2 linked regions of the Rattus norvegicus genome follow. The protein of the gene in region 1 purifies or fractionates together with the protein of each later gene. This does not show direct contact. Links are inferred from orthologs where the notes say so. Each region holds a gene or a part of one and is shown in the gene's direction. Other genes may lie near its edges.

Region 1 (3,815 bases):
CTTTTTAGCATGAGCAGTTTTCACGTGATCAGCGTAGGAGGGAGGTAAATAATAGTTCAGTGCAGGATCAGGAACATGGGGAAGGCCCAGCTCTGATGACCCTGTCTCTCCAGCCAGCTGCCGGTAGCCCCAGTGGACGATGTACCTGTGGTTCAGATGGCAGCCGAGATCCTGAAAGCAGAGGACGAGTTACAGGTATGTGTGCTGTCAACACTATTATACACTGCATAGCAGAGGAACAGCATTGAGGTACAGTGGTGCATACTTTTAATCCCAGCACATGGAGCCCAGAGGCAGGCAGATTCTGAGTTCTAGGCCAGCCCAGTCAACATAGTGAGTTCCAGGACAAGCAGGGCTTCAGAGTGAGACCTTGTCTCAGAAAAATAACATAGTAGAAGAGGCTACCAGCTCTCTTCTATGAACAGGGTGGGATACAACACTATCTCCCATCCCCTAAAGCTGCCTCCCTGTCTGGGTTTACTTTAAGGAAAGAGTGAGCGGGGCTCTCCCTCACCCAGAACCTCACTACAAGGTGATGCTGACTTTCTCTCCAGGAGGGAATTTTGAATTCCTTGAGCCCTTCAGCTTTCACAAGTTTTCCAGACGGTGAGCTGGTAACCCCTCCAATCGAGCCGATGCCGGAGCCTTCCCCTCAGGGGCCAGAGCCTCTCTTGGACAGCGAGCCAGTGACCCCTCCAGTCAAGCCAGTGCTGGAACCTACTCCTCAGGGGCCAGAGCCTCTCTTGGACAGTGAGCCGGTGACCCCTCCAGTCAAGCCAGTACTGGAACCTACCCCTCAGGGATCAGAGCCTCTCTTGGACAGTGAGCCAGTGACCCTTCCTGTTGAACCAGTGCCAGAGTCTTCCCATCAGGGACCAGAACCTCTCTTGGACAGTGAGCCAGTGACCCTTCCTGTTGAACCAGTGCCAGAGTCTTCCCATCAGGGACCAGAACCTCTCTTGGACCCAAAGGAAGAGAGCTTTAGAGACCCAGCAGAAGGTATGTGGCATAAATGCATTTTTAAAAGTGATAATCTTTTCTCTGTACTGGCTAGCTCTCAAATAAATGAAACAGACTATAAGATTTATAAGCTTTATAGTACAGTAGCTGAGCAGTTATTAATCTGTTTTATTACTCTAAACTAATCTGGCTACTTCCCAGCCAAAACACTTGCATTTTAGTATCAGTCTGGCCCCTTGGTGTCTCTTTTTCGCCTGTGGAATCTAGTCCCTCTTTCACTCCCTCCCCCAATCCTCGGTCTTGGAAGTTCAACCCTATTAGCCGATCAGCTTTTATTGACAAGTCTGAGAGTAAGTGGGGAGCAATATTTACACAAAATTCAGGCAGGAGATACTTAAAATGATCATTACAGTGTCTTGTCCAGATTGCAGCCAAATATGGGGGGGGGAGAGGGAGGTTCGTCAGCACTTGAATAAAGGATCAAGGATAATCTTTACAGATTACAATAGCATTATGCCTACACTGTGGCCCCAAGGTGTCACCATAGGTTTCTCTGAAAGTCCCTGTGGACACTTACGTACCTGCAGGTTCCAGGCAGTTATTCCACAGGCTTTTCCCTGACAAACTTTTGCTCCCAGCCAAGCATGGTGACACCTTTAATCCCAGCATTGGGTAGGCAGATGCAGAAGGATCTCTTGAGTTTGGGGCCAGCCTGGTCTACAAAGCCAATTCCAAGCCCCGGCTGTCACACAGAGAAACCCTGTCTCTAGAAGGGGAAGGTGGGAGAATCAGCTTTTGGTCCTTAAAAGATGGGGCAGTGTCTTAGGGTTGCTATTGCTGTGATGAAACACTATGGCCAGCCTGCTAGTGGTGACACAGGCTTTAATTCCAGCACAGGTAGGCAGATCTCTGTGAGTTCAAGGCCAGTCTGGTCTACACAGTGAGTTCCAGACAGCCAGGGTTTCACAAAGAAATTCTGTCTCAAAAAAACACAAAAAGAAATTCAGGGTCCTCTTGAGAGTTCAAGGCCAGCCAGACTAGAGAGCCAGTCAGTCCCCAGAATGAAAAAGTCGGGTCTTTATCCATGGATTTCACATCTTCTCATTCAGTCAACGTTGGGTAGAATTTTTAAGTGTCTTTATTGAATACGAAAAGGGAAAGAAAGTACTTTTTCTTCCTGTATAAAATTGGGGGCTCCTTTTGAGGTCTATCCCGATGGGGCTTCTCTGGTAGCCACACATCGTTGGAAACGCCTCGTATAGTAACTTGTGGTTTTACTTGACTCATGACTATTCGTTAGGTCTGTGGGAAGGAACTACAAGACAGCAAACAAAAAAACAATTGGGGGCTCACCTAGGGCTTTCTTCATAGAAGCAGAGAAGCTGCTAGTTTGGGTGCTGGAACCAATCTCGGAATTTATTTCAAAGAACAGTGATCCCACTCTGTTGAATACTTTGGGCATGTGGCCCTCAGAACCTGCGGTACTTGGGGGAATGGCTAATACCACTCATTGTTTCAGTTCTAGGTGCTGGTGCTGAAGTGGATTATCTGGAGCAATTTGGAACTTCCTCGGTAGGTACTTGCCCGTTATGACAGCCTCGACTGCAATGTGTAAATCAGTCAGCCTAGGCCACTTATCCTTGGCTCCTGGAGCATCCTTTAGTTCCTGTACTGTGTCTGGTCAAGGCTGCATGTAAGAGCCCTTGCCTTACAACAGTGTCCTGACCCAGGTGTCCCCTCACTCCCAGATAATCCTGGACCTATCGGGGTGTGTTGTGGTCTCCCCAGCCCACTTTGCTCAACAAGGTCATCCTGGCTTCTGGTATCTGTTAAATCAATGATGAATCCTGTTACTTTTCCTTGTCCCATCTCCAACTCTCAGTTCAAGGAGTCAGCCTGGAGGAAGCAGTCTTTGTACTTGAAATTTGACCCCCTTCTGAAAGAGAGCCCTTTGCGGTCAATGCCAGTGCCAGTGGCCCCAGTGACAAATAGGTATGTTCCTCCTTTGAAGCTGTTAGCATGAGCCAAGGAATCTAGTGGCTGTTACTAAATGTACTGATTGAAAACTTGTGGGAAAAGGCTAATCTCAGCTAAAATGAGTGATGGTAATAGACAAACAGGACTCTGAGCCTAGAGCCAGCCTCATCGATCAGGTAGTCCGTGTTTTAGTAAGGTACTCTGCCATGCTCTTCACACAGCCACACAAGCAATGATTGCACAGGAGGGCACGAGCCTGGGCCAGGCCAGACAGTCTGTTTGTATGAGTGGACTTCAAAGGCCTGTTCCTTCATGCATCGTCTATGACGACTTGTATTATAAAGGCAGATCCGGGGGTTGGGGATTTAGCTCAGTGGTAGAGCAGGTCCTGGGTTGGGTCCTCAGCTCTGGGGGGGGAAAAAAAAGGTAGATCCGAATTGTTGTGACAGAAACCATAGGGCCTTCAAATCTGACATCTGTGGAAAACCCAGGCTGATAACTAGTACTTTAGAAGAAAATATAATCAAATATTACTGAGAATTATGTGCTAAATCTAACACAAGACCCTTGAGCCCAGGGAAGGAAAGATTTGTCCCCTCTAACTAGGTATTAACCCTGTACATTCTGAGGACTCCGCAGTAGGGCATCTGCACTGTCTGCACAGCTTGCTATGAGCCAGGGAAGCACGGCATTGCCTCACAGGGACAGTGAGGGGCAGGTGGCAGAGGGGGCTGGAGGCAGCAACTGCCAGGCCTAGTTCTCCAGTCCCAACTCCTAGTCTCTGTCTTGTTTGTATTTGTTTTTAGACCAAGACCCAAACACAAAGCTTGTTAAGACAACACTACTGACTTTTATGCCCTATTGAGTACTCAGCACGA
Region 2 (3,027 bases), on another chromosome or scaffold:
AATCTGATGAGGGAATGAACCATTCTGGCACAATCCCTCCCCCCCATGCCCCATCCTCACTCCACCCTAGGGTTCCACAGCTCTCTGAACCCATGGCCACTTTGGAATCATCCGTTTGCATCGTTGAAAAGAGTGCGCCCAGGCCCCTGAGAGGAGCCAGAGGCTTCTGGTCCTGTGGTGTCGTGGTTGTCCCCTCCCGTGGTCCCCGCCCCCCTTCCCCCTCTGCTTGGTTTGGGGACTGAAGCGGCTTCTTTTCCTCTGTACAGGCAGCCTGAACATTTGGAGCGCCGGGTCTCCAATGCAGGTGATGGCTCAGTGACTGGGTCACGGGGACCTCCCTGGAGGAGAGGGTTGGGCAGGCAGGACACAATATCCTGCCTCTCTCTCAGCAATACCCTTCTTTGTGTTTACTGTAGGAGGCCCACCTGCTCCCCCAGCTGGGGGCCCACCTCCACCTCCAGGACCTCCCCCTCCTCCGGGTCCCCCCCCACCCCCAGGTCTGCCCCCCTCAGGGGTATCTGGGGCAGGTCATGGAACAGGTGTAGCCCCACCCCCTGCACCCCCACTCCCTACAGCACAGGGCCCCAGTAGTGGGGGTTCCGGGGCCCCAGGCCTGGCCGCTGCCATTGCTGGAGCCAAACTCAGGAAAGTGAGCAAGGTAGGAAAGTGGATGGGAGTGGCTGGGATGAAGCCCTGAGGGAACAATGGGAGGTGGTCAGAGTCCCCCATAGGTGTCACAAGAGGGCTGGGAGGTCACCTGGCCTACCTGTGAAGCCTTCTCCCCCTTTTTCATTCCTTCAGCAGGAGGAGGCCTCTGGGGGGCCCCTGGCCCCCAAAGCTGAGAATAGTCGAGGCACTGGTGGGGGGCTTATGGAAGAGATGAACGCCATGCTGGCCCGGAGGTGAGCCTGAGTCCCTTAGAAGTCATCCGCCCACATGCTGCAGTTTCAGGGTTAGGCTGCTGGAGTGCTGATTGGCCCCCTCCCCTTCCTGTCTTTTCATGTCTAGCCCAGGCTGAACTTCCACCTGCACCCAGCTTCTCTGTGTCTTTGGCGGTGCTGTCTGATGACAGCCATGCCCAGGACACCATGCTGGAGACTCATCCCCAGGTGGCTCACAGTCTGGAAAGTGCTCTCACACTCCCTGTTTGAGCCATGGGAGATTCCGCTTGAACGTCCTGGAAGCTTAGGTTCTTAGACTCTCAGCTTGCTGACCTAGAAGCCTCCTCACCCTTATAGTTCTTGTGATTTTCAGTCTTGGAATTATGGGGGACCCCTCCAGATCCTAGAGGCGCAATCTCTAGGCTGGATTTTTCCTTAAATTTTCAGGGTTTTTGTTGTTGTTGTTGTTGTATATACGAGTGTACCCATGGCTCCCTGGAAGAGTTGTTTGTCTCCTTCCACTGTGTGGGTTCTGGGAATTGGAGTCAAGATGTCAGGTTTAACAGCAAGCACCTGGGGGCCGGAGAGATGGCTCAGCGGTTAAGAGCACTGACTGCTCTTCCAGAGGTCCTGAGTTCAATTCCCAGCAACCACATGGTGGCTCACAGCCATCTGTAATGGAATCTGATGCCCTCTTCTGGTGTGTCTGAAGACAGACAGTGTACTTATATACAATAAATAAATAAATCTTAAAAATAAAAATAAAAACAGCAAGCACCCTTCCTTACTGAACCATCTCAGCCCTAAACTGGGTGGTGCTGCTGAACATCAGCCCTGGCTAGGCTGGAACTTAGAATGACTCTCCTGCCTCTGCCTATCCCATACTGGGATTGCAGGCTTGGACCATGCTTTCCCAAGAGGGTTTTTGTTTTGTCTTGTTTTGTTTTGATTTTGAGACAGTCTCTCATTATGTAGACCAGGGGGGCTTTGAACTCACAGAGATCTGCCAGCATCTCATTTTTAAAAGTATTATTACGTTTATTTATTCATTGCGTTTGTCCATGTGGAGGTTAGAGGATAATCTGCAAGACTCAGTTCTCTACTTCACCTTCACATGGGTCCTTGGGGTTCGATCAGGGGATTCAGCTTGGCGGCGGGAACTTCTAGCTGCTGAGCCATCTCGCAGGCCCCTTTAACTTTTCAAACAATCCTGGAATTTAGCAGTGGGAAGGGGTCCTATTGAGTGTGGGGCGTGAACTGTAGCTTGCCCTTGCTTGCCCCTCTGCAGAAGGAAAGCCACACAGGTTGGGGAGAAGCCCCCCAAAGACGAGTCAGCCAGTGTAAGTACGGGTTCTTCCTGCTCTATATTCCTTATGATGTACGCTGGTGCCCTAGGGCAGGGAGGAGGTGTGATGTGGCAGGGTTGAGCTGGCTTTGGACCTGGAAGAGGAACATGGGCATAAAAGGGTCCGTTTATGATACTTCTATTTACCGCCAGCAGGAGGAGTCAGAGGCCCGAATCCCTGCCCAAAGTGGTGAGTGACAGACAGCCCTGTCTATACATAGAAACTACAAATCCCATGATGCATTGTTCTTGGCTTTGCAAGCACTACAGGGGGAAATCTGTGAAAACAGTACTCAGTTTTATAGTTTTCTAAAATTCTTTGACCTAGTGGGTTGAGTGCTAAGTGGTGGTGGTATGGTACTGTGATGGCAATGCTTGTCTCTGATCTTTATTTGTTGCCCCACCACCCTCCCAGAACCTGTGCGAAGACCCTGGGAGAAGAACAGCACAACCTTGCCAAGGTAGGGTCATGGCTGTTGGGGAGGAACATAATATAGCCCCGGGATAGGAAAAGAGGGAGGCAACCTACCACCCTACCTCACTCCTGTCCGACTCTTCCAGGATGAAGTCATCCTCTTCTGTGACTACCTCCGAGGCCCACCCCTCTGTGCCCAGCTCCAGTGATGACTCCGACTTGGAGAGGGTGAAGCAGGTAGCTTGGGGAAAAATGTCAGGAGAGACAGCCCTGACTCCAGAATGGTTGTAGGAAAGGCTCAGAAACCTCTTCTAGCCCGAGAAAAGGAGTTGGTGGGTGGGGTCCAAGGGTGACAGACACCCACACTTTTCCAGTAGCTCTAACAG

The links.
Region 2: the proteins of Tacc3 (region 1) and Vasp purify together in Homo sapiens (co-immunoprecipitation; 3 studies listed by BioGRID and IntAct, with this or other methods). This does not show direct contact. The link is inferred for Rattus norvegicus from reciprocal best matches to the Homo sapiens genes TACC3 and VASP.

Annotation. Positions count from the first base shown.
Region 1 is NC_086032.1:81,279,502-81,283,316, reverse strand, and holds part of Tacc3 (transforming acidic coiled-coil-containing protein 3), read left to right. Parts: intron 1-113; coding exon 114-195; intron 196-554; coding exon 555-999; intron 1,000-2,159; exon of another isoform or gene 2,160-2,288; intron 2,289-2,479; coding exon 2,480-2,532; intron 2,533-2,842; coding exon 2,843-2,952; intron 2,953-3,743; coding exon of another isoform or gene 3,744-3,771; exon of another isoform or gene 3,772-3,815. UniProt on the Homo sapiens protein: Plays a role in the microtubule-dependent coupling of the nucleus and the centrosome. Involved in the processes that regulate centrosome-mediated interkinetic nuclear migration (INM) of neural progenitors.
Region 2 is NC_086019.1:88,039,943-88,042,969, reverse strand, and holds part of Vasp (vasodilator-stimulated phosphoprotein), read left to right. Parts: intron 1-266; coding exon 267-304; intron 305-416; coding exon 417-658; intron 659-801; coding exon of another isoform or gene 802-804; coding exon 805-902; intron 903-2,169; coding exon 2,170-2,221; intron 2,222-2,379; coding exon 2,380-2,416; intron 2,417-2,641; coding exon 2,642-2,687; intron 2,688-2,787; coding exon 2,788-2,878; intron 2,879-3,027. UniProt on the Homo sapiens protein: Ena/VASP proteins are actin-associated proteins involved in a range of processes dependent on cytoskeleton remodeling and cell polarity such as axon guidance, lamellipodial and filopodial dynamics, platelet activation and cell migration.